Linked DNA regions of Alligator mississippiensis. The protein of the gene in region 1 purifies or fractionates together with the protein of each later gene. This does not show direct contact. Links are inferred from orthologs where the notes say so. Each region holds a gene or a part of one and is shown in the gene's direction. Other genes may lie near its edges. The genes, in order: ANAPC13 and ANAPC7.

Region 1 (12,062 bases):
GACAGTTTTTCTATAGGGAAAGAAAATACGCTCTTAAAGGAGCCAACCTCACTATTAAATTTGATGTTCACCCTGTCCTGCAAAGTGACCAAAAATTAAGCAGGAACTATGGCAAGTACATTTATTTTGTTTGCAGGAACTGTATAATAAGATTCATGTTTAGGTTCTGAAGCTAGTTATGCAAGGAAGAGATGGTATTTGCCATCTTTAAGGATTGGGCAAGTTCTGAAAAGGGATTACCAAAAGGGTCTCACACAGAGATGGAATACAAGCAGAAGAGTGACTTCCAGCTCAAATTTCCTCAATTACTAGGTAAAACTCTACTTTTTCTTCCTTTTTTTGAATTGTAGATTCAGCCTAGGCTCTCAAAGCTGTATGTATTTTAGCCTGACTCTAGCATTAAAGATTCAGTAGCTGGAAGACATTTAACAGTTCTGCTGATAACACGCAAGCCAAAAAGGAATACAGCTTGCACTCCTGCCACTGGATAGTCCCTACAATGCCAGCAGGAGCAAGAAGCAGTAGGACTTATTTCAGCTAGGAAAGCAAACAGATTGGAGCAGATCTGCAGAGCGGAACCATGCTGCTTTTATGTATTTCACTACAATGGCACTTAGTGTCAAAAGAGCTTGTAAGAAGGCTGTAAATATAACAGGAAATGACAATTATTCAGAAAGCTGAAAGTACAGATATGCCAACTATTAAAACTATGAAGGCTGGTAGCCAGAGACTTCTGGAAAAGCAATTCACTACAGGTCTGCTCCTGCTCCAATAAGAAAAAACAAAAAACAGTGGCACAATATATCAAGCCCCACTAACTACATCCTGAAGGCTTTACTCAAGCATAAAACCCTGTGTAGATAAAGGTTTGGCTGAGTAAGGAAAGAACTGAAGGACTACAACATCTGAACTTAAACTAATACAGGTGTTTCTTTAGTTGAGAGGAGACTATTGCAAACAGCTGCATACGTACCCACCACGCCCTTGCTTTTGCATTCCCTCTAGCAAAGCCTCCATCACAAACGTGGTCCTCTATAGCAGCTAGAAAAGCAAGCGAAGTGGGGGTCAGGCTGCAGCACTTGATAACATGCTCTCCAGTGGGCTGTAGAAGTCTGGAGTGGGGAGAAGGAGGTGAAAAATTATGCAATTTACAGGGTATGTGTAGGAAGGGGCAAAAGAGTTGCAGAGTCTTCTTCAAGAGACTTGCAGGCCAAATGTTGGCCAGAGATATAAAAAATAAAGAAATCAGTCAGAACAAGAAAATCAGGACCATTGCTTATTGATTACCATCAGCTTAGCTGATGCAATTATGTGATCCAGCAAACACAATGATTCAAACAGTGGATGTGAAATATGTAGTCAGGCTGTGAACTTTAGTAAGCTGGTTAATTGAATGGGTCAGGCCATACTGGGGCTGGGGGGATTTTTATCCTCAAGAGCATAGGACAGTGCAGAACTGTAAAGAGACACAGAAACTGCTGGACTAGAGCAGCCCCAGCATCCATCTTGTTTGGGACAGAGGCCAGCACAAGCTGTTTCCAACAAAAACGTTAAGAACCCTGCAATAAGAAATGGTGGGATAATTTGTACTCACACTGAAAAATATCCAGCTCCACCTTCCCTAAGCTCCCTGATATTCTATTGCCCAAGGTAAGTACCTCTCTCTTGCCAGTTCCACGCACCAGCCAGGTGGCCTGATTTGGATTGGACAATTCTAGATAGAATAACAATGGCCAACGTACCAGGACTGTTGGTTGTTCCTGCCTGAGGTTGGTCAATTTAATAATGGATGCTAACCGTGAATGCTCATGAGCATGGAGGCAGAGAGCTGACTTGTCCTCTTCTCCCATCTCCAGGTGTGAAGTGGAGAAAGAGGTAGAGAAAGCAACCAAGAGCACTCTCTCTAGACTCCCACCCGTGAAGGCAATCTGATGGCAATACCAACTCCCCTCCCTGATAATTAAAACTGCAGTGGAGAGGGCTGGTCTGTCACTGAGGAATGGGGAAAGGAAGATGAGAGAGCTAAAAGGAAAGAACACCAAAGATTGGAAACAGAAGAAACTAAGGCATCTCCAGGAGAAAAAATTCATGCTTCCCTGGGGGCAGGCAGGGAAGAAGAGAGAGAGAGAGAGAGAGACCCTCTGAAGTTGCCAAAGAATAGGGTATTTTGTACTTACTTATACTACAGGCCATTTATCAGAGGCCACACAAGAGGAACCCTTCAGGAAAATAGCCAAGGGCAGAATGGTTCTGTTGTACAGGAAAGTTGTGCAGTCTTCAGTGATATAAGATGCTTCTCCAAATGCCAAACCTTTCACTGTTCTCTCATCACTAGTTCTTACAGATATCTTTGCAATGCCAGTTTGGCACCTGGGAAAGATCATGCAGCAGTATCAGTTTTGAGCCCGACAAGTAAACCAGACAAACTCAATAAGCACCAGTTCACTTCTGAGCTTTTCTTTCCTTGACACTTTCCTGCAGATACGAGCAGCCACATCAGCATGACACCAGCGTCGGGTATGCTCCAACCTAACCAATGCTCTGGCAGCAACACTGATAGCAAAAGCCATGCTGAAGTAAGTGCCACATCTGACGAGAAGTAACGGCAATGCTGGAAAACCCTGATGAACGTCAAGGGAGATACTGGTGATAATAGAAGTATCTAGATGGGTACAATTGCCTCGGGAAAGGACTGCTTGGTGGGACTTTTGGCTTAAAAATGACTGAGGCTGCTGGCAGTGGTAAATAGACTAAGTCTTCAGCTATAAACGTAAATATATATTAATGAGGGGGGCAAGGACATAGTTGGGGCCCAAGGATTTCTGTCAAATTAAGATCTCATAAAGTATAACCGTCACACCAATTTAAAGATGTAGACCACACAACAGTTAAGTCAAATGCCAAATAGTGCATCTTTTGCCAATGTACTCCAGGGAATTCTTCACTGGACTCTAGTAGCCAGTAAGGAAAGGGTTAAAGCAAGCCCGCTTTTTAAAATAATATATTCTCTTCCGAGCCAAGCCACCCTTCCAGGCCTATGTCACTGTTTCTACAACCTGACAGATAAAGCACTATTCTTGATGGCTTATTTGCTCTAAAAGGTCACAGCCAACACGAAAACCATTTGTTTGACTACCTTCATCACATTTTCAGTTTGAATCTGCCTTTAGCCAAACAGAGCCCCTCAACCTCAGAACAGCTGAGTTATGAAGAACAACAACAGAAGCATCACTCTCAGTAGGTCTTAAAACTCGGTTGCTTTATCACCATACATTATACTGGAAGTCAGTATGGTCATTTCTTTCTAATCCTTGAAGGATCCAGTTGCATTGATACCTTCCAAAGGGCTTTAACATTAGGAATTACAAGTGTCAATAAATACTCTGTAAATAAGGGATTTTTTTTTTAATATGCAAGTTTAAAGACACTTGTATTCTTGAGCTCACAACTTCCCCAAGCAATCCCATCCCCCCCTTTCACCTGGACAGAGCAGGACTTCTACATACATCTTCTTACCCACCCTCAGACCTTGCAGAAGTGTTACTAATGAGACGATCATGGGGGGGGCTGGACCCGATGATCTCATAAGGTCCCTTCCAGCTCTAAATTTCTGCGAATCAACCCCACCCCCACAGCTAGAGCCTCAAGTCATCATTCACCCACCTTCCTTATAGAAGCCAGTCAGCTCAGTGGTCAGATTTCCAGACTACTTATTTTACCAGAACAACCTTGTCCCCACAGTAAAGGAAACCCAATAAAAGAAGCAAGTGTACAAACAGCAAACAAATGAACAAACAAAACCCAAAAGGCTGTGGTCTTTTTCAGACCCTGGGAGGAGTTAACACAGACTCACTGCTTCTACCCAAGCACCACATCTCCCCTCTTTTTGCTTTTTTCCAATCTGTGCCTGGATATTTGAAGCCTTTTTGTGGCTCCACCTCAAATCCCTCATTAGCTGCAGCTGCTGTCACCCTTCCTGCACTCGTAACTGCTGACTACCTGCAGTTGGGTTGCAGGCTCAGCCCTGCTCCTTACACAGACCCTCCAGCTTTTTTCACATACACGACCAAAGCAGCCACCTGGCAGAACTCCACCCCATGCCCTCACCTCTCACAGCTTTTTCCTTTACCAGCCTAATCCCAGTTCATTCAATTATCTCTCAGAAAATACAAATTCCCTCATGCCCTGACATGCTGTACCTCAATCAGACTTCCAACCAAAATGGTTCAATACTGTTTTCCTTTAAATGACATCTCAGATCCTGAAGCACAGCTCCACAGTGAGCAATAGATACTGCAGTCACAGTATCCAAGTCAGGCCCTGAATTTAATATTAAAATAGGTAGCCATAAAGGCTGCTATTGTGTAACATAATATTGTTTTCCTCAAGTCCAATCACAAGAGCTTGCAAAATTCCCAAGTTCCTAATTTTTAAAATAAATGGCTCTGTAGACATTTCTTGAAAACAATTAAATTAAACAGGAAAGGCCAGAAGCCCTACCGTCACAGTTAAACAGCCTACAATAAGACATACTGTGTTTATTTAACTATGTCAAGAATTGCTCCCCACCCTCCCTGCAGAGACTGCTTTGGGATTCACGCTTCACAAAGTTCACTGATACCTAAAGTTTTCATTTTGTCTTGGCACAGGTGTTTCCAGCTCTGGAAAGTAACACAACACTGGGACTTTTAGATTACATCATTCCGTATTACATTGCATGTTTTCTTTTCATTTTTACCATTTGATTTGATTTTACTAGCTGATCTCCTCTGAACCATGAGAGAGTGCCATTTCAAGCTTGCAGATGGTATGAAGCTAAGAATGAATGTTTTATATACACTAAACAGCAGCAACTAAAGCAGTCAGAGTTAAGGTCATGACACTGAACAGGGTGCTTGAACAGGAGTCTAATTTTAAGCAGAAATAGTCCCAGCAAAATCAAGCTTAAACACATACGCGGGCATCTTCCTGATCCAGGGCCTATGTGAAAAAGGTGCAAGATAGGGTCACACTGTTCTGAACACTAAGCTGTGATGCCTCCTGATTGGGATGGACAAGGAACAAAAGAGTTACCAAGACTGAAATTGGAGAAAAGATCCAGATGGCTCAATGGCACCAGCTGTTCTTGTTTCGGGACATCTAACTGTAAGGTAAAAAGAGCACAGAGGCAGCAAGCCAGTTCAGCAATGGGGTCAATAAAGACAGAAGGGAACCCGCAACCCTTTCCCAGCAAGTCGTGAAACCACGCGGTTACAACACATCGGAACTTTCAGGGTGGACTCCAAGGACAGAGCAAGTCTATCGCTGCAGAAGCAACTCCTGACCAGTCCCCTCAACCAGGATGGCCAGAAAATGCCTTGCTGCCAAGGGTGGCACCTGTTGGTTTATCACCATACATTATACTGGAAGTCTCTGGCCATTTCTTTCTAATCCTTGAAGGATCCAGTACCACCGATACTTTCCAAAGGGCTTTAACATTAGGAGTTACAAGTATCAATAAAAAATCCCTTATTTACAGAGTATTTAATATGTAAGTTTAAAGACACTTGTATTTTCGAGCCCACAACTTCTGTGGTGCTCAGTGCCCAGCCAACAGCCAAGACATGCCCTGCAGACCTGTGTCATTCAGCCCGCAGAGCTCCCCGTGGGTCCCAGCACATGCTACCCTATCTCCCATCGCTGCCTGATAGCAGGAACCGCGGAGACAACGCAGCCTGTGCTTTGTCAGTGATGCTTGACCAGAAAGGAGGCTGTGGCCAGGAGGGTCCCCGGGACTGCAGGCCCGTCTTCACCCGTCTCCGAGCTGAGTATCACCGGGCAGTGCCCACTGGCTCCTTGGACTAGTTGGGGGGCCAGCAGGGACTGTCCAGTGAGCTCTACTCGGCGTCCCGCCTTTGGCACTCTTGTTCCGGCCCTTTGACCTTCACTCCTGTCCGTTTTCCTATTATTTGTCCCCAGCAATCAACTGCCCCCCTTCTCTGCTGCCTCCCTGCGTGAGGGAGGCTAAGGGTGAGGTGGTGAGTGGTGCTGAAGGGGGCAAACGAGCCCCCGAGCAGCTGCTGAAAAGGCAGGCGGGCAGGAGCGGCATCCCCTGCGCCTCGGACCCGACACGGGGTGGGGTTTGGAGATGCCCCTGGATGCCGCCTCCCCGGGGCAGCGCCCCCCTCCGCCGCCGGGTGCAGCACGGGCCAGGGGCCCCGCCGGCCTAAGGGGGGCAAACCAGGGGCCCAGTGGGGCTCGGCACCCGGACGCGCTGGCCTGGGCCGGGCCGGGCCGGGCCGGGCCAGCCCCAGGGTCGCAGACAGCGCGGGGCAGGGGCCGCCTTCCCGCCCGCCGAAGCGAAGGGCCTCTGGGCCCGGAGCGGCACAGGGAAACTGAGGCACCGTCACTACGCCGCCTGACTCGCCTTGGGTCACCCAGCGCGAAGGAGGCGGGGCCAGGCTTGCGCATGCGCAATGCAAGGGGAAGGGGCGTCCCGGTCCGGCAAGCCGTTACCCGCGGCGGTGCTGCTGGAGGGCCCGGCTTCCTCTCTATAGTTCGCGCGGCTCAGAGCGGCCAGTCACGTGAAGGCCTGCGGAGGAGCGAAGGGGTGAGCGCGCGGGAGGGGTCGTGCGGAGCTGGCGCTGGGGGGAAGGAATGGAGCGCTTCTCTCACCGGTAGGGAAGGGACATAGGCCCCAAAAGTGCAAGGCTGGCTGCGTAGTGCGCATGTGTGGGAGCCGGAGCATGCGCACTGCCGGCTGTGAGACTGCGGCTCGGGTCCCCGCCCTGATCTTGAGAAGCAGGCACTCTGCCCTAATCCTGAGGCGCGGAGGACCCCCCCCCCCGGCGCGAAGGTAGGTCGATAATGCGCATGTGCGCTGATAGGAGCATGCGCAGTGCCCTCCCTGGGCTCTGAGGTGGGGGCATGTGCTCAGAACCTGGACGGCTCTGCTGGGGGGTGATGGTCTGCTTGAGGCGAGCCTGGGAGAGGAGAAACACTCTACTCATTCTCCCTGGTCCTGACCCTGTGCAGGGACTCCTCGAGCCCCTCAGCGCACTGCAGAAGGACCCCTGTCTTTTTGTCCCTGAGAGGCCCGGGGTAGTTAGAGCCAGACTATGTAATTATTTGGGCCTGGGGGCCACATAGGGAGGTGTGAAGAGCTGTTGTGTGCTGGGTCCACGCAGCAACCCACCCAAACTCTGTGGGCACATCCACGTTCATTAATGTGCCTCAGATCCTGTGAATTTATTACTTAATTTTGGACTAACTGAACACACAGTATCTACAGTTACTGGCAGTGGGGTATTAGCATGGTTTGTGCCGTGACATACTACTGCGTGGTGGTATTAAGCTAATGTGCATTAAGCGTCTCATGTAGACATGCCCCCACTGTGGGATGGGGCCATAGGCGGGGAGCTGTATTCGGGAGAAGGATGGGCATCTGCTTCCTGCTGGGCCCCACTGCTCAACTGAGCTCCCCTCACCTCTAGAGGCAGCTCCTCTTGCCCCTGGTGTGCTGCTACAGGTGGGGGAAGCTTCAGCCGGTGGGTCCTACCCCAGCACATGGGGCTCTTGTAGCTCCCAGCCACCTTTTACCTGCTCCACCCGCTCGGCTGCCATTTCCCCTGGCTGGAAGCAGCGCCACGGGCAGGAGCAGGAGCAAAAGCTGCTGCTGGAGGTGAGCTGAGCAGCACCCATGGGGCTGCAGCTGCACCAGGAGCCACTCTGCCAGAAGCTGTGCACACGGGCTGGGGCCTGCAGACAGAGTCAGGAGCGCAGCCTGGGCTGGGCTTGGCCCCATGCAGAGCTCCACAGGGGCAGTCGCTGGCTAGATCCAGTCAACTGGTTGGTTGGATCTGGCCAGTGGGCTGTATTTTGGCCAACTCTTGAGTTAGAGAGTGAAGGTCTGCCCCTTGCATTGCAAGACTCTACAGATGCCTCCTAATGGGAGGATCTCACCTACACAGTTTATGCTGATGACTGAGGATTGCTCTTGGGGGGGCACGGCGGTGGTGGGAGTATGTCAGTGGTGAGTGGGGAGCTCCTGCAGATGCTGCCAGCACTGGCGGGGGGGGGGGGGGGGGGCAAGCGCCGACCAGAGGTCGGCAATCACCCACAGATGCCACCGGCAGCATCAGCAGTAGACAGCGGGGATCACTGACTGCTCGCAGGCAGCGGCAGGGTGGCGAGTGACGACCGCCCCCAAGCACCGCTGACAAAAAGGCGCCACTGACACTGCGCATGCCCCTAGCTTGTTCTTTCAGCTTTTTGGCTAGGGGCAAGCAAGACTAGGGGGCATGTAAACCCCAAGGCCTTGGGGCTTGCATGTAGGATGCCTGCCATGGGTTTGGGAGTATCCTAAGCCCCAGGCTGAAGAGTTTGGGAGGTAGGATACTTGCCAGTGGTAGCACCACATGGACCTGAACAGTTGAGCTCTGCTCAGTCAATAGAATTTGGAGTTGATTTGGCCTGAGACATGGAATTTCAAAAAAAAAACAAAACCACCCCAAACCATATGATGCATATGTGAATGCAAGAGCCAAGATCTCCTGAGTGGCTTTTCTCAACAGGAATTAAAACAACCCCCAAGGTACCACTCTAGAGGGTTTGGGCCATTGCGAATGACGTCCTTTTTGTTTCGCAGGTGTTGCGTGATTGCGGGCTGGCTGCGCACTGATGGACAGTGAGGTGCAGAGGGACGGGAGAATCCTGGATCTGATTGACGATGCCTGGAGGGAAGACAAGTTACCATATGAGGATGTGGCAATACCCCTGGTAGGTGACCGCTGTGCACTGAATTAACAGCCTGATCTTGAGTCCTTGCATTTCCAAATTTCTTAACCCCTTCTAAGCAAATGATCCTTGCAACACCACCACTTTGTACCAGAAATACTCTTATACCGCTCTGTTCAGCTTCCCCTTTGTTTTGTGTGTGGCAAGAACATGGGATTCACTCCCCCACTTCCTCCCTTCTCTTCCCCCTCCACAGGTGGGGGTACAAATGCTTTCATCCCACAGCTGTTTGACTCCTTGGAAGGAGGAAACCTCTCCTCTTGCTCTTAGTCAGTTGTCAGCCTCTTTGGAGGGTGCAATGCTTCTTCCCATCCCCTGCCTCTGTTTGGGGTTAGGGGCAAGCACAAGTGATGCTCTTTTATCAAACTACATTTTATTATAGTGCTGGTTGTGTTTGAAGCAGTTTGCCAGACTGGGGTCTGTGGGTCTCGGATAAGCAGCCTTGTGTTGGCAGTGTGTGGAGAGTTAGCATTTAAGTACTGTTGGCTACTTTTCATTCCCAGCTGCTAAAATGCATTCAGTGTTTTCCTAAGAGTACTTTTCCATGTAAACAATCACTGTAATTATTACTAAAATGGTGTGATCATGGTGTCGGGACCAAGGGTCGGTCTAAGGCTATGGCCAGTAGCCTGGACCGTCAGATGGGGTTTTTCCACGACGGAGTAGAGTTAGGCACGGAAGCGTATTGGTTTTACAAAGAAAGCTTTACTTACACTGCCGATGGTCACAGTGCAGGGAGGAAACTTGCTTGAGTTGCAGTTGCACACAAACAAACACAAGTGAGATCTCTTCCGAACCACACCGAACCGAGATGAGTCGTCGATGTATGACTCCACGAGCGCTTTACACGGGGGATACGTCAAATTTTCACTATGACGGGGAGTGGCTAAGAGCTGATCAGGCCTCTATGTCCTCCTCCAAGGCACACGCAGAGTTTGCTAGGCTCCACAGCACGCTCAGAGTTCCCCACGAGATGGTTGTGGAGTCCTCCAACTTGGGCGGAAACTGCTCTAACCTTTTGTACGGCTAGCGAGCCAATTGCTAGCCGCCACGTAGGAATAATTTAGAATTGACCAATAGTGGGACACTAATTTGCATGCATGTGGCAGGAACTCTTTTGCACCAGGGATTTCTCTCTGCAGCTGAGAAATCCACCGCGCGAAGAAAGCTCCATGTGGCGGGAAAATTCCAATGTGCCGAGGCACTAAGAATCATTGGGTTATGACGCATAGAAGCATCTGTTATGTGATCCCAGTATTGAAATACAATCCATGCCAGAGGTGCCCCTTAAATTGTGCACTTGAACACATCTGTATTGGTAGTCTCTTTGCTCATAAAGGTACCTACACGACAAGGCAGCTTCCCTTCAGGACACAGGTGCCAACTTATCTGTCCCTGTGGGCCAGGTGAATGGCATGGGACTGGTTCATGGACTGGGTAAACTGCCAGGGGTCAGCCTGTGAACTGTCTTGGACCCTCCCCACCACATGATGGACCCTCCCCACCACATGTTGGATCCAGCATCTGCTTTGTGCGGTCCATGGTGCTTGTTCCATGCAGCACAGATCCTTGACCAGCCAGAGCAAGTGCCAGATCTGGCATGCAGGGGATCCAGTGGAGCACTGCTGCTTCCAGCATGGCTGTTCCAGCCCTTGCTCTGGCATTCTGGAACTGTGCCACAAGTGGTACCTGTTCTGAACTGGTTGGAGCAGGAGCTGGATCCACCATGGGGATGGGAGCCAGATGATGTGGCTCCATGGGCTGGATCTGGCCCATAGATCTTATCTTTGACATCTTTCCCTTTCCCCAGAGGCATGTAGTATCACCAGTCAAGAGCTAGTTGAAAAAGTGGCTCCCCTTATCCCCAACTGCATCCAGTGCTAAGGGCCACTACACTTCCCCTTTCCTCATCTCTCAGCTGGAGTGAGGGAGTCCCAAGGACTTGCCCTTTCTCTATTCCCTTACCATTCTGCCAGCAAGGGGAGTGGAGGGGAGGAACTGATTTCTCCTAGGTCTGTTAGCAACTATTTTTGATCTATCATGAACTCTGAAGTACACCAGGATCTTTGCAGCCCCTTTCCATTGGATACCTGCATATCCTGTTACTCTTCAAACACACACCCTCCCCACATAAACCCCATTCATTTTTGGATTTCATACAGCCTTAAATGAACTGAGTAAAGGCCTTCCAGAGGTACTCTGTTCTGGTGAGCTCAAGATCTATTTTCATGCTGATACTTACCCAACTAGCAGTGATTTTTAGTTCATAGCATAAGTATGCAGCCTGGGGATGGACCTCCTGTCACCTGAAATATGATCGTCTATGAACAGGTTGAAAATCCAGCACAGCTTCTTCAGAAGACTTTTTCACTCAACAACATCAAGAAGGGACTGACTGAAGGGTCCTAAATATGGTGCTAACTACTGCTTCCCTTAATGCTTGATCCAAACTCCAGTAAACCATGAAGGCTTCCAGTGACTCCAGTACGCTTGGGATTGGGTCCTAATTGAAACAAATTTTAGATTTTGAGAAGGTCCTTTTGTCTTGTCTCGTGCTAGGGAGCCCATGACTCAGAAGGGAGAATCCTGCTCTGGCGGTTTCATTCAGAATAACATATGCACACTAGAAATTGTACAGTTATGGCAAAACACAGTAGGTACTATTAATAAGTAAAACAAAACCTCAGTCAAACCATAACTTATTTTCCCTAGTTGTGTGTTCATCTATTTTCTTTCACAAAAGCGCAGGCTGTGAACGCTTGCCAGTTTTCCCACATAGCCACTTTGATTTCAGCTTCAAGGGAGAGCATTTATTTTGTTACTTTCTAGACAATTAAAAAGATACGCAGCAGATTGCCATATTTAAAAATCTGAAATTGTATAGCTACTCATTTGGGCCTAACTGTCAGAGGAAGATTTCAAACAAGTGATGAAATACTTGCCCTGTGACATTACTTATTTATTTTACATTTTCCATGCATTACAATCATCTATCTCACTGCATGCATCTGAGTCAGCAAACCACCAAGGCAGAAAGCCAATTCACTTCTAAAACTAAGCACAATTTTTTTGAAAAACATTGCTCCATTTAAAAATATCATCATATTTAGATGTGAACAATATGAATAGCACGTGGATCTACATATTCATCAAAATGAAATGTTAGTAACCTGTTTCTTTTAGGGTGCTTTGTAAGCGTGGAATGCATTGTCCTATTTTGTCTTCTCAGAATGAGCTTCCTGAACCAGAGCAAGACAATGGTGGCACAACGGAGTCAGTAAAAGAGC
Region 2 (12,830 bases), on another chromosome or scaffold:
CTGAAGAGTGCCTCTGCTGCTCTGTACAGTGAGAAATGGGGGAGGCAGGCCCTGTAGTTGTAACTTCCTTCAAAGTAGAACTGAGAACCCGGAAGTGGTGGTGTCTAGATAAAATTGTTCAAAAACCACAGGGAAGGCTTTATTTAGTGCTTGTTTTAATGCTGTTTCATTATCTTGTGTCTCTGTTTTCCACAACTGCTCCACAGCATTATACCATTTCAATGCTGAAAGGGACCAACCTCTAGATCTAGGTGGTTTGTGTCAACTGGTGAAACCCAAAGCCTGCTGGATCTAATGTTATGAGCTTGCTTGTTATCTCTCTCTCTCTCTCTTTTTTTTTTTTTTAAATGAGGAAGGTGAAGGATTATGTTTCTCCTGATTAATTTTAAATTAGTCTTTTTCTTCCCCTCCTCCCTTAGACCTGATCTCAGAGGGCATTATAATGATAGCTATAACCAACATCCTCTTGTAATGATAGTAGACTTGTTGTTATTTCTCACTAACGACTGAAAGACCCATTGGGAATTACCGAGCAATCACGGCAAAAATGGACAAAACAAAGCTGCTTGCTTTACTTGGGCAAGTACAAAGCTTGAACTCATTGCTGTTCAAGTGGTGAGTGGCTGTAGCCTGTGCTCCTTCGTGCAAATAAAGGCACGTTAGTCATATGGGGCATGACCACAGCACTACCGCTGCTATCAAATCTTTGCTGAGAACTGGGATAAGTTATCTGTAGCATCATATTTCGTAAGGATTTTATTTTTCTACAGACTAGTGAAAAGAAACAGTGGAATTTTTACTGTGCATCTCGGCCAGTCCTGTACACCTGCATCTTGGTTAACTTTCCCTCTCTTTCTTGTTAGCAAAGGACACAGATATTATTGATGAAGCAATCTACTACTTCAAAGCAAATGTCTTCTTCAAAAATTATGAAATTAAGGTAAGAAATGTACCTTTAAGGTATTGTGCACATTTGTGGAGGCTGGGACTTGACTTAAACATAGAACTGTTTCACTGCAGCACTTGTGACCCCCTTGAGAGTTTATATCTTTTTGTGTATGGTAAAAATGCAAAGAAACAATTGTTTTCCTTTCTAAAAGAAGTTGGGTGAGGAAACTCCTCAGGAGTGCTGTCAGTGCATCTCTGTGAGAGACTAGGGACTGAGCATGTTAGTCTTGCTCCTGGCAACTGTAAAGTCCTCCCCTGGTCTAATGGTGGCTTGTGCCTGCTTTTTATTTTGCAGAATGAGGCCGACAGAACCTTGATCTACATAACTCTCTACATTTCCGAGTGCTTGAAAAAGCTGCAGAAGGTAAGATCCCAGAGCTAAGCTGGAGGAGGGCAATAAAATAAATGACAACAAAAACGTGCCTGATCTGCTGGTTGCCCTAAAGCAGCTGGAAAACTTGCATAAGCAGAAATGCTGCTGGCTAGCAGTTAGTGCCTGGACACCAAATGTTCACCACCCTTCTCGGCTATGGGTTAGTTAGGATTATCTTCTCTATAAAAATGGTAATTGGCTGGGCAAAGCCTTAATGAATGGTAGGAGCTGTGGGGACCAAGTGCTGTGCTCCCCACCCCATCCTGCAGGTGTGGTAATTCTTGAATCTTTAGTATTCTGACATAGGCCGTGTGTCTGCAGGAGGGCCTGCCCGCACTGCGCTGCGCTGCTTTAAGGGGGGAAATGCTCATAGCTTCCTCTTCATTTTAAATCCCTTCCCTGTTGGGCCAAAAGGCAGCGTGAAGTTCTGATGCGATCATCAGTTCTGGTCTCATCAACTCTTCTGACTTCCTTTCTTCAGCTGCTCCTCCCCCTCCCCCCCAACCCATCTGTCCAGAATAACCCTGTTAGTCATCAGTTTCTACCATGGTTTTCTCTGCCTGTTCCTCACCCACATCAAGCCTGAAAGTATTGGGCTCCTCTTCAAGACTCACTGGGGATATTCTACTCTTGCTTTCTTCTGCATGCTGCACTTAGCCTTTGGATATGTCTGTACACACCACAAAGTAAGCCAGAGAGGCTACACATTGGTGTTCGGGCAAGTTACTAGATTTTATGGCTTGTCAAGGCAGTAAAACTTCTGTGGTACAGACTAGCTCAATATACATAAACCATTACAAGCCCTTCGTGTATACGTAGTTATAAACATGCCTTAGAATGTTTCTGCTGGTATTATCTGGATAAAGGAATAAGCTATACTGGTATAAGGCTCCTTTTATATCAGTATAACAGTTCACACTGGGGGTTATACTGGTGCATCTATTAGAAAGTACTTTGTACTACTAACCAAGAAGGGTTTATATCGGTACAGTCTATACGTGCAGCTGGCTTCAGGCCCGACTGCCAGAGCCCCTGGTAGTTCAGAAAACCTTTTGTTTTGTAGTAAGTGCACAGGGCCCCCAAACTGTGTAAAGAAACTTCTCATTTAATCAGGGACAAATACATAAGACACCTTCAGTATTTTCTCCCACGGGTAGTCCCGTATCAATATCCTAGTTAAGCTACATACTTTATATCTAAAGTGGTACAGCTTCTCTCGGTATGTTTGAACTGGTCTCTTTCCTGGCTTTTCCAGTGTAATTCCAAAGGCCAAGGAGAAAAGGAAATGTACACGCTGGGAATCACTAACTTCCCGATACCTGGGGAGCCTGGCTTTCCACTCAATGCCATCTATGCCAAACCTTCCAACAAGCAAGAGGACGGTAAGAACAAAAGCAGCCTTGTCACTTAACTTCAGGCTACAGCATGGATCCAACAGCCTGCTTTATTTCTGTGGCTGTCAAACTGCCTTGTGAATCAGTGGTCCTGCTTTCTCTGTGTACCTGGAGTCTGACTGAGTTTGGGACAGAGTTACTATGCTGTATCCCTGCTAATCCTGTCAAGTGAGCAGCTCTGCTCCAATCCCACAACACGGGAAACTAAACTGTGGTAATTTACCCTGCTGTGCTCAGGACTAAGCAACCCTGGCTCAGCAAGTGTTGAAAACAGAAGGTGATGCTAGGGGTGCAGACATTGCTAATCCACTCTTTAGCCAGCACATCAGATGGCTTTGCTGTTGGCTGCCAGAACTATTCTTAGACAGTATCTAACACTGCACACTCCAATCTGTATTGGTCCATGCTCTCTTCCAGAGGTGATGAGGGCCTACTTACAGCAGCTGAGACAAGAAACTGGACTTAGGCTTTGTGAAAAGGTGTTTGATCCCCAAAGTGACAAACCTAGCAAGGTAAGATGCTGTTCTCACAAACTGGTCAATACATTTTCTTTTTTTTAATCCCAGTTTTTTGGCCTCCATTTTTTTTCCTGATTAGTGGACACTTGGGGAATGTCAGCTTCAGGGGAAAAGAAAATAATTCTGGATTTGCTCCCTAAGGCATGTGTTTGGAGAACGGAAGTCAGAGGCAGCAGGGAGATGGATAGGAGGGTAGCGCCCTGTGATTTAGATGAGTCTGTAAGTGAGATGGTAGCAAAAGCCAGGCTAGGCTGCACAGGCAGAAGCATCCTGTCCAAGAACACAGAGGCAACAGTCTGTTTGTTGGTCAGTCCTGCAAAGTGCTAGGTCCCAGCTGGTCACACTCAACTGCATAGAAGAGAACGCGTCTGGCACTGAGGGTACTTGGCCTCTTCCATAGTGAGCGATGCAGTTCTTCCTGTGTGGGGAAAAGCACTTTGCTAACGGATGTATCGGTTAACGCAGGGATGGGCCATACGGTGGATCTGGCCAGTAGATTTCCCAGTGTTGCTGGGGCCGGTTTCCATGGAGATCTTGGGAGCGGCAGGGCTGTGCCAGTGTGGGGCCAGGGTTTCCATGCAGACGGCCCAAGCAGTGCTGGCAGAGAGCTGCTCCAGGGCTGGGGGTGGGATTTTGCAGTGGTGACAGCGTGGTCCAAACTGGGGCAGAGCCATGATTCACTACCTGCATGCCCCGCTCTGACAGTGGGGGCTGGAGCCAAGGCATCGCCACAAGCTCCTGGCCCTGGAACAGCTCCCTGCCCAGCCACTGCCCTGCCAGTGTTGCTTGGCGGTCTCCATGGAAACCCTGGACCCACTGCTTCTGGGGTCTCCATGGAAACTGGCTGCAGTGAGGCAGTCAGAGGCTGCTGGGAAAAGGGAGTCCACCATGGGTCTGAATGGGCCAGACTTCGCTCATCCCTGAGTTAACTCCTTCCTTTCATTTCTGCCTGCCTTGGTGTGTCGTTTCTGAGAAGAGGTTACAGCCTAGGGTAGATGCATTTTGCATATTTGCTCAGATGCTTAGGCCAGTTTTGAACAGTAACTTCAATATTATTGAGCTAGTTATGTTTCAGAATGAGTGTTGACTGCCTGATGTCTAGAGTCTGGTCCAGAGACTTGTGCATCAAAGGCAAGGAGTCATGTTTTTAAAGCAACTGGTATGGGGCTTTCTTAAATGGCCACTTCTGGGAAAGAAATAACTGAAAAGATTTCAGAGTTTTAAAGACCACGTCCACCCCCCCCAAATACTGCTTAGCTTCCAGATCTAGACTGGAACTGCATGCAGTACACTTTGAGGTGTGTATGTCTCTCCTTTTTTTCCAAATAAGCAAGATACTTGGAAGCTAACATTGAAACAACCACCTTAAAGAGTATTTTAATGCAAGTGTCCCAGTGTTACAATCTGAATTATCCTGTATTGCCTGCCTTGAGTGCCTAAAACTCGTTAAAGCCACTGTTGAAAACTGGATCCCTGGTCTGTGCAGAGTTGGGTTTTTACATAGTGGGTGTCAGGCAGAACACACAAGTCCTGCTTTGTTTACGTAGACTGCTTACTTGGAAACTCCTCTGGTATATCATCTCACTGTGGATTTCTCTCTTAGTGGTGGATCTGCTTTGTGAAGAGACAGTTCATGAATAAGAGCCTGTCAGGTCCAGGACAGTAAAGAAGCAAAGAGGAGTGGCAACAAGGTTAAGCAGTCTACAGCAAGGTGTAAAAAATATTTTGCTTTTGCTTCATACATGTTTTGTACCAAGGAAGAATAAGTGCTTATGAGGGAAAGCTGTCAGTCAATGCGGGGAGGTGGAGCAAAAGGACCCTTGAATCCTGTAAGTGAACAATATTAAGCTGGTGCTTAATAAACAATTTCTAACATGCTGTTTCAGATCAATGCTGCTTTTATTATCAGTTGCCTCATATATAATGTGTCTTACATGTGTCCTGCAGTTACTCTGCTGGCTAGAGTCATTGCCACTTAGGCTGTATTGTAAAGCATGGTGAATTTTACTCCTTTTTCTAATAAACTTAGCTTATTTCACATGATACCTGTTTTATCTCTTATGAACGTGGATAGCTATACAAAAATGAAAGCTTGATTTGTTATGTTTGTGCCAGCAAGCCTCAAGTAAATTTGAGGGTTTGTTTTATAGGAGCTGTAGAAACCTGTGGTAAGAAATGTTTCTTGCCCTGACAAGGTTACTGTCTAAATAACACAGATGGGAAAGGAAGGAGATGCAAGGGTAAATGGCTACCCAGGGTTACACAGGCACAGAGAGTAGAATCCTGGGATAAATTCTCGACGCCACTGAATGCGGCCAGGACTTCCCCCTGAGATCCAGGCCCCTACTTCAGTCGCTGGTCCGTCCTACTTTGGGACTCCAGAGTGCCACCCTTGCACTGGGAAGTCTCTCTCTCTCTCTGTCTCTGCTGGATTAAACACAAGGGATCCTGACCCTGAAGACTTTATTCAGGCCACTTTCTCTTCTGTGAGATGTTTTTCAATAAAGATCATATTGCAGTGAGCACTGTGATGATGCCACCTGCGTGAAGACCGGCGTCATTCTGGGCTGTAAGCTGCCATTGGCTATATAGTTGCATTAGGGCAACCGCTGACATATAGATGTAACTTGTTGTTCTAATTAAGGGAGATTTGCAGAAGACATCGAGTGTTGATCACCTCATAGCATTCTTCTTCTCAGGCAAGTGTTGCGCACTAAACAGGGGTGGAGCAGAAAGGGGAGTGGATGGCTTAGAGCTGGAACACTCAGAAAATAGCGAACAATACTTTGGACTGATAAGCTATTAAAGAAGAACACTTGGATGGGATGTCTACAGCTGGAATATGAAACCATCAGCAGTAAACTGAGTTGCTCAAATTTTGGATTTAAACAAAATCTGAGGTGTCAGGCTTAGCTTCACCTCTTACACTTTCTATCTATTTGAAATATACTGCCTGCTTACATATCAGATTAAAAGCCTGAAGAATTAATTTTGAAAAGTCAAGATTTTTACACTCATGCACTAAAAGCATTCATTCAGTTCTACTGTTGGCAGGAGTCCAATGGCTGCCTCTTGCAATGGGCACTCTTCTGTAGAGCACCCAGTGTGGAAGAAGGATGTTTTAGGAGGATGAAAGATTAAGCAGCTACTGGCGGAGAAGGCTGGTAGAAAGGCTGGAACGGGAAGGGTGGCTGAGGGTATTCTGCACCTCTAAAAAATCAGATCCTGGGTGATTGAAGTCTCAATGCACCCAGTAGTATAGTGCTGCCAGAGGCTCTGTCTTATGCTTAAGTAACCAGTGCTTGGTGCTGTGGCTTTCATACTAAGCCCTTGCAAAATGAAAAGGGAAGTGCTCCTGTAGAAAGCCGAGTAGAACTAATAGTAGGGCTGCAGTTTACAAACCTGTACTCGTTTATCCCAGCTCTTTGTAGCAGGGCCGTGCTCCTCTGCACCAATGCTCGTTCAGCAGTTACCGGCGCCACGCTCCACCCAGCTGCCCCTGCGGTCTCGCCAGCCACAACCCAACGCAGCAGCGCTGATCCTGAACCTCTTCGTTCGGACGGAGGAGACTGAGGATCGGCCCACCCTGGGCGAAGGAAAGAAAGACAAGATCCCCTCTGCGGCACCGGCCACATCTAACTGTCTTGCTGGGTTAAAAGCAGAGATCTACAGCAGTGTTTCCCACCCTTTTCCAGCCCCAGGCTCACTTGCATTAATAACAACTGCCCTGGCACACTTGTTAAGGCATTCCCCTTCCTCATACCTGTTGTAGCTCATTGCCATGACAAAACTCTGCATCTGTTCAGTGCTGATGGCACACTGGTTGGGAAACACCCCTCTGAGTCCTGTTCCACTTCCCCCCAGCCACAGCCGTTGCTCGTTCCTGTCCTCTGTTACTGACTGAGCAGCCGGCCTGAATTCACAAGGGCAGTGCGAGCACAGCTGCCAAAACTGCTGGCGAGCGCCGCACACGCGAGCGAGTCCCACTGCGCACGCGCACGCCGGCCACCAGCTGGCGTCTGCGCACTCCCCCTCCCTCGGCGCATGCGCGATCGGCATTACCCCTGAGGCGTCCTCCTTAGTGCCTGCTTGCAAAACTCCCCATTTGTGCCCGGCCGCGCGGCAAAGGGGGTGGGAGGGAGGTCTCAGTGGCAGGCATCAGCAGGGCGTGAATCCGAGGCGCGGGCACAGGCGCCATCCCCGGACTCCTATATCCTCCTGAGGGCGAGGCCCCCTCGGCGGCGCCATTTTGGAGGCTCGCGACGCCTCAGCCGCCCGGAGCCGCCTCAGCGCCGACATGAGCGTGGTGGAGCACGTGCGGGAGATGGCGGCTGCCGGGCTGCACTCCAACGTGCGCATCCTCAGCGGGCTGCTGCTCACCATGAGCGGCAACAACCCGTGAGTCGCGGGGCGGGGCGGGGCGGGGCGCCCGTTGGCGGTTGACGGTTGGCCGTTGGCGGTTGACAGTTGGCCGCGCCCACCTGTCCGTGCTCCTCCCCCGGGGCTGGATCGTCCCGTGCGCTGTGGGGGTTGCACTCGGAGCGAGGGTCTGGCAGGGAGCCCCCAAAATGATTGAAGGGCTGGGGGAAACCGCTCATCCTGAGAGACTTCTGTTGCCCTTCTCAAAACAGAGGTTGAGCGCGGCCTGGGCTAGTAAGCGAAGCCCTTCAGTGGTAGAAAATCTTGGGTCCAAAAAAACTCCCTTTAACCTAACAGAGAACGGCGTAACAAGAAGCGAGTTGAAGCCGGGCGATTCGAGGTGGGAAGGAGGGACCGATTTTGAACGGGCATGACTAACCTGGCAAAGGAAATCACGCATTTTATCTCTTGATGTCTTCGGATCAAGAACAGAGTTTTTTGAAGATGTTTTAACCGAGATAGTGACGGGTTCAGTACCGCGTGACTGGATAGCAGCGGCAGCGTTGTCTCTAGAGGAGCGGTTTGCGCGCCGTCAGTTTAAAACGATACAAACTTCAGTGCCACCAAAAAAGTTTCAGTTCAGAGTTACGTGGCACCAGCACGTTTTTGTCGTAAAGTCATTATAATAAATCTGTGAACGCGTACCGCTGGTGGTACGTGTACCGCGGTTTGGGAACTGGTGCTGTAGAGGCACAAGTTTGAGCATCGCTCCGGATTTGTACTGATTCTAAAATCCAAGTCCGCTTGCTCTTCAAGAGGATGATTCACAGAGGGTGCGTCTACATGAGATGTTTAACGCGCATTAGACTAATTCTACTGCGCATTAGGGCGGCTGGCAAAAACCATGCTAATGTACAGTAGACATAGTCTAATGTACATTAACGTCACAAAAAAATGTTCATCTGCGCTAATGTGCACTGGCACCGATTACAATGCATTAATACCTATTATTTTATTGCAGGTACTAAATTTAATGCGCCGTAACGACATGCATTAAAGAACATGTAAACGCACCCAGTATTCACCGCTCGGGAGTCATTAAAGACATGCTTAGGGTTGCTAAGGCTGTTCTCGCCTTGGGTTAAAGCACTTGTGAATGAAAGGTGCAAATGTTGCACTCATACGTCTTCCACTTCTGGGTCATAGCTAAGGGCCTCCTTCCTAACACTGAGAACTTAGGTTCTAGCAAATTTGTCCGTATCCTGTCATCAGACAGTTCAGTTAAGCATCACTTTTTTTTTTTCTTCCAGAGAGTTATTCTCCCCTTCTCAAAAGTACCAGCTGCTTGTGTATCATGCAGACTCCCTCTTTCATGACAAGGAGTATAGGAATGCTGTAAGTAAGTATACAATGGCCTTGCAGCAGAAGAAGGCATTAAGTAAAACTTCAAAAGTTAGACCCTCTACTGGGAATGCTGCATCAACTCCACAAAGTCAGGTACTTAGGCTGTTGGTGTGTTCATGTTGTGACATGGGCTGTTGGTGTGTTCATGTTGTGACTTTAGATTATAACATTGCTATACTAAAGTAGCCTGAATTTTTAGACTGTTTAACTACTAATGGCGCTGAACTCATGGAAAAAACATAAGATGGTTACCTGGGGCCAAAATTTTGCTTCTTAAATTTACAGTTTTCATTTAGAAGCTACAAAATAGCCTGAGTTATGCAAGTACAGCTTACCATCTTCCTTGCACTTTATTTATCTTTAATGAAAAATCTGATAGAAAACTTATGATTCAGCCATTTCTTTTCATGTAGTTAAAACAGCATTTGAGAGGTTATATTTTAGCAATCTGTTTTATTTTAGTGTCTGCCATCTGAAATTGAAGTGAAATATAAAATGGCTGAGTGTTACACAATGTTGAAGCAAGATAAAGATGCCATTGCTATCCTGGATGGAATTCCTTCAAGACAAAGAACCCCAAAGGTAAATCCCTGGATGTGTTTCTGGTCTGAGAAGACAGAGGGCAGGGCAGGGTGGCACCTTAAAGAGGGCACGGATACCAGAAAGGCATGATCTTTTGTAAACTACAGCCTACTTCCTCACATGCATCTAACATAGTAGATGTGGGCCGTAGCCAACAAAAGCTTATGCCCATGAACGAGTTATGCTGTAAGTGCCGCCCTGTCATGGTTTCTGTGTACCATCAGACTAAGGCAGCTAACTACCTCTCTCTGCTGAGAGGGTAGTTTGGGTATATTTGGAGCTTAATATTAATTTGGCCAGAATTGCAAATCTAGCTTTGTATATATAAAGACATCAACCCTTGGCACTTGTGGTTGCAACGTCCACATGAGAGATTTGGAAATGCTCCTTCAGTAGTTTATACTAGCTAAGTTCATTTAGCTCATTTCTTTAAAGCAGGAGATCGCAATATGGATTTTATTTGAAAAAAAATCACCTAACTAAAAGGAACTAAACGCTTGTGTGTCTTCCCCAGTTAATTCCTGTGAAAATTAGTGAGTAACTTACTAGTGGGAATTACAAAATCTCTCCTGTGTGAGGAAGAATAGACCCTTTAACTTCTAGTGGTATGTGTCTAACTCATTTAGGACTGAGGATTCTACCAGACTTACAAACATTCTGCTTTTGCCTGGTAGTCTGTTAACAATCCAAAACCTTTCATACCTGGTTTTTACTTTCCTCCAGACAAAGACTAATTGCTGTGCTGGTAAATACCCTAGCTCTGAGTATGGTGATCCTCCCACCAGATTCCTGAATGCTGCTAGGAGGACAGCTTGTGTAGGAAACGAAGTGCTGCTGTCTGTTGTGACCTCAGCAGCGTGTGCTTCTTGAGGCTGAAGAAAATTCCTGGCCTGATGAATAGAAGGGAAAAACCCAGCAACTATGTTCCCTCAAGATTCTTCTCCCCTGGTTTAATGGTAGTTTATGTAGTGCTAAATATTTAGATCACAGCAGCATGCAGAGCCAAAAATGTTGAGTCTTTTGCTTGCTGGCTCTGTCATCTAGTTAATCTCTTGAACCATTAACACCTTGTGCACTTTAACTGAGGTTTGACTGTTAGCATTACATTTTGGCCAGTGTAACTAACTACAAGGTGTCTTGCCATAAGCCAGACTTACTGCACAAAAATGAAAACATTGAGAGGCCAAGCAGTTTCTTCCCCTTGTATGTCAGCAAACCAAAATAACTGTGCCACAAAAGCTAGCTGCAGTGACCTGAATTTAAGCTATTTCCTGAGCAGTTAAGTTATTCAGAACCTAAATAAAAAACCTCCACCTCCCAAAGGTTACAGTTCTGGCAGCCTTTCCTCACTATGTAGAGAAAGCTGGTGAAAGGAAACCAACGTAAGATGCAGCTGTTTGTCAGGTATCACTTCCACATATGTAGATAGTTGCTTATATCAGGATTTAATATATGCAAAACTGAGGTTTTCAGAGGCCTTATGCAACTATAAAAGAATTACCTCAGTTTTTGCCTTCTGAATCAGAAGAAACACTTATTTTACAGGATACAAGGAATTGTAAAGCTGGGTTCATAACTTCTGTATTCTACTTAGAGCTGGAAAGATGGGGCTGTAATGAATCTAGGGCCTTCTCTCAGTGATGAACCTCTGCCCTACATAATTGTAGACTGGATTATCACAGCCAATACTTTTTTTTTTCTTTTTTTTCCCTCTCTCTCTACAGATTAACATGATGTTGGCAAATTTGTACAAGAAGGCAGGTCAGGAACGGTCGTCTGTTACAAGCTATAAAGAAGTGCTGAGGCAGTGTCCTCTAGCGCTTGATGCTATACTAGGTAGAGTTCTTTTTTTCTACCAAATACTTAAATATTTAATCTTAAACAATGTTATTACCGACATGCAGTGCTTGAGACTTAGTAAATGAGCAAATACAATCTAGGAATTATACAGGCAGTTATTTATAATAATCCGTATAAGTTTACAAAGCAATTAAATTGTCATTCTTTAAAACAGTTAGCTAACTTGTATTACCAACTGCATTGGTTACTTGAAACTTGACTGGTGTGTTTTTCTGAATAGGTTTGCTCTCCCTCTCAGTAAAAGGTGCAGAAGTGGCCTCTATGACAATGAATGTAATTCAGAGTATCCCCAACTTGGACTGGCTTTCAGTGTGGATCAAAGCATATGCTTTTGTGCACACTGGAGATAACACCAGAGCAATCAACACCATCTGGTAAGAATCAAGGTGAATTAAAGTGTTCTTGAATCGTTACTCTGCATAGGATGTTAATAGATTTAAACACATTGTTTGACATGGTATGGTGTGAATTTTGTGCTGTGTAGGGCTATACAGTCCCAATCTCTAAACATTCGTTGGATTTTGGCAGATGCCAAACGAAACATCTCAGGTCGGGGAGGGAGGAGGAGAGTGTCCCCCATATTGCAAGAATCTTGATTTGGAAGTCTGTGTAGCAGAAAAGTAATGATATTCTAGACTTACTGCCCAAGTTTGTGGCAAACCTTTTTAAAAGCGAGTTACTGTGAGCCCACCTCCCTAGTGTTTCATGTTACGAACTGTTTAACTTCTTGAACTACATCCAGAAGCAAGTTACTAGTGATGATCTGTAAAGCTTTTAGTGGGTCTAAGATTTGCTTTGATGACACACTGAGGTTTAACATGGCAGCACACACCATCTTAGCAAATGCTGCTTGCTTCTGGCAGCAGGATATTTTGGTAGAGGTCTGCTACCTAAAAAACTTTCTCACTATTCCATTTTGGCAGCCTTCAGCAAGCAGGGTAAGGCGTATGTGTGTTCAAGAAAATCTTGAATGCATTTTTACACAGTGTGCGGGCAGTATTCAATCAGCAAAGGCAGATAGTAGGGCTGTAGTTAAGTGGTACTGTTTTTTTGGTAATCATAGGTCTTTTACTGACTGTCACATCTGTGCTTGTAAAAAACAAAACAAAACATGGTTACTTATTAGAAACAAACTGTAGGCTCCAGGAAGTGCATAGCAGTGAATGGTAAATAACAAGGTACAATGTTAAATGGCCATTTATTTTCTGTTAGCTCATTAGAGAAAAAGTCTTTGCTGAGGGATAACGTGGATCTGTTGGGGAGCTTGGCAGACCTGTACTTCAGAGCTGGAGACAATAAAAATTCAATTCTAAAATTTGAACAGGCACAAATGCTGGACCCTTATCTGATAAAAGGTGAGTAGCTGTAAATCTTTAAGGAATGTTATACTAA

Evidence for each region.
Region 2: the proteins of ANAPC13 (region 1) and ANAPC7 purify together in Homo sapiens (affinity purification with mass spectrometry; 3 studies listed by BioGRID and IntAct, counting the BioPlex papers as one, with this or other methods). This does not show direct contact. The link is inferred for Alligator mississippiensis from reciprocal best matches to the Homo sapiens genes ANAPC13 and ANAPC7.

Annotation. Positions count from the first base shown.
Region 1 is NC_081830.1:30,839,578-30,851,639, reverse strand, and holds the start of ANAPC13 (anaphase-promoting complex subunit 13), read left to right. Parts: upstream 1-6,500; 5' UTR 6,501-6,589; intron 6,590-6,654; exon of another isoform or gene 6,655-6,738; intron 6,739-6,748; exon of another isoform or gene 6,749-6,835; intron 6,836-8,626; 5' UTR 8,627-8,658; coding exon 8,659-8,757; intron 8,758-12,004; coding exon 12,005-12,062. Other genes in the region: CEP63 (centrosomal protein of 63 kDa), read right to left, coding at 974-1,017. UniProt on the Homo sapiens protein: Component of the anaphase promoting complex/cyclosome (APC/C), a cell cycle-regulated E3 ubiquitin ligase that controls progression through mitosis and the G1 phase of the cell cycle.
Region 2 is NC_081833.1:2,202,860-2,215,689, forward strand, and holds the start of ANAPC7 (anaphase-promoting complex subunit 7), read left to right. Parts: upstream 1-7,459; 5' UTR 7,460-7,530; coding exon 7,531-7,631; intron 7,632-8,041; exon of another isoform or gene 8,042-8,411; coding exon of another isoform or gene 8,412-8,425; intron 8,426-8,902; coding exon 8,903-9,089; intron 9,090-9,458; coding exon 9,459-9,578; intron 9,579-11,302; coding exon 11,303-11,414; intron 11,415-11,658; coding exon 11,659-11,812; intron 11,813-12,650; coding exon 12,651-12,793; intron 12,794-12,830. Other genes in the region: ARPC3 (actin-related protein 2/3 complex subunit 3), read left to right, coding at 864-940, 1,244-1,312, 2,577-2,703, 3,133-3,227, 4,837-4,899. UniProt on the Homo sapiens protein: Component of the anaphase promoting complex/cyclosome (APC/C), a cell cycle-regulated E3 ubiquitin ligase that controls progression through mitosis and the G1 phase of the cell cycle.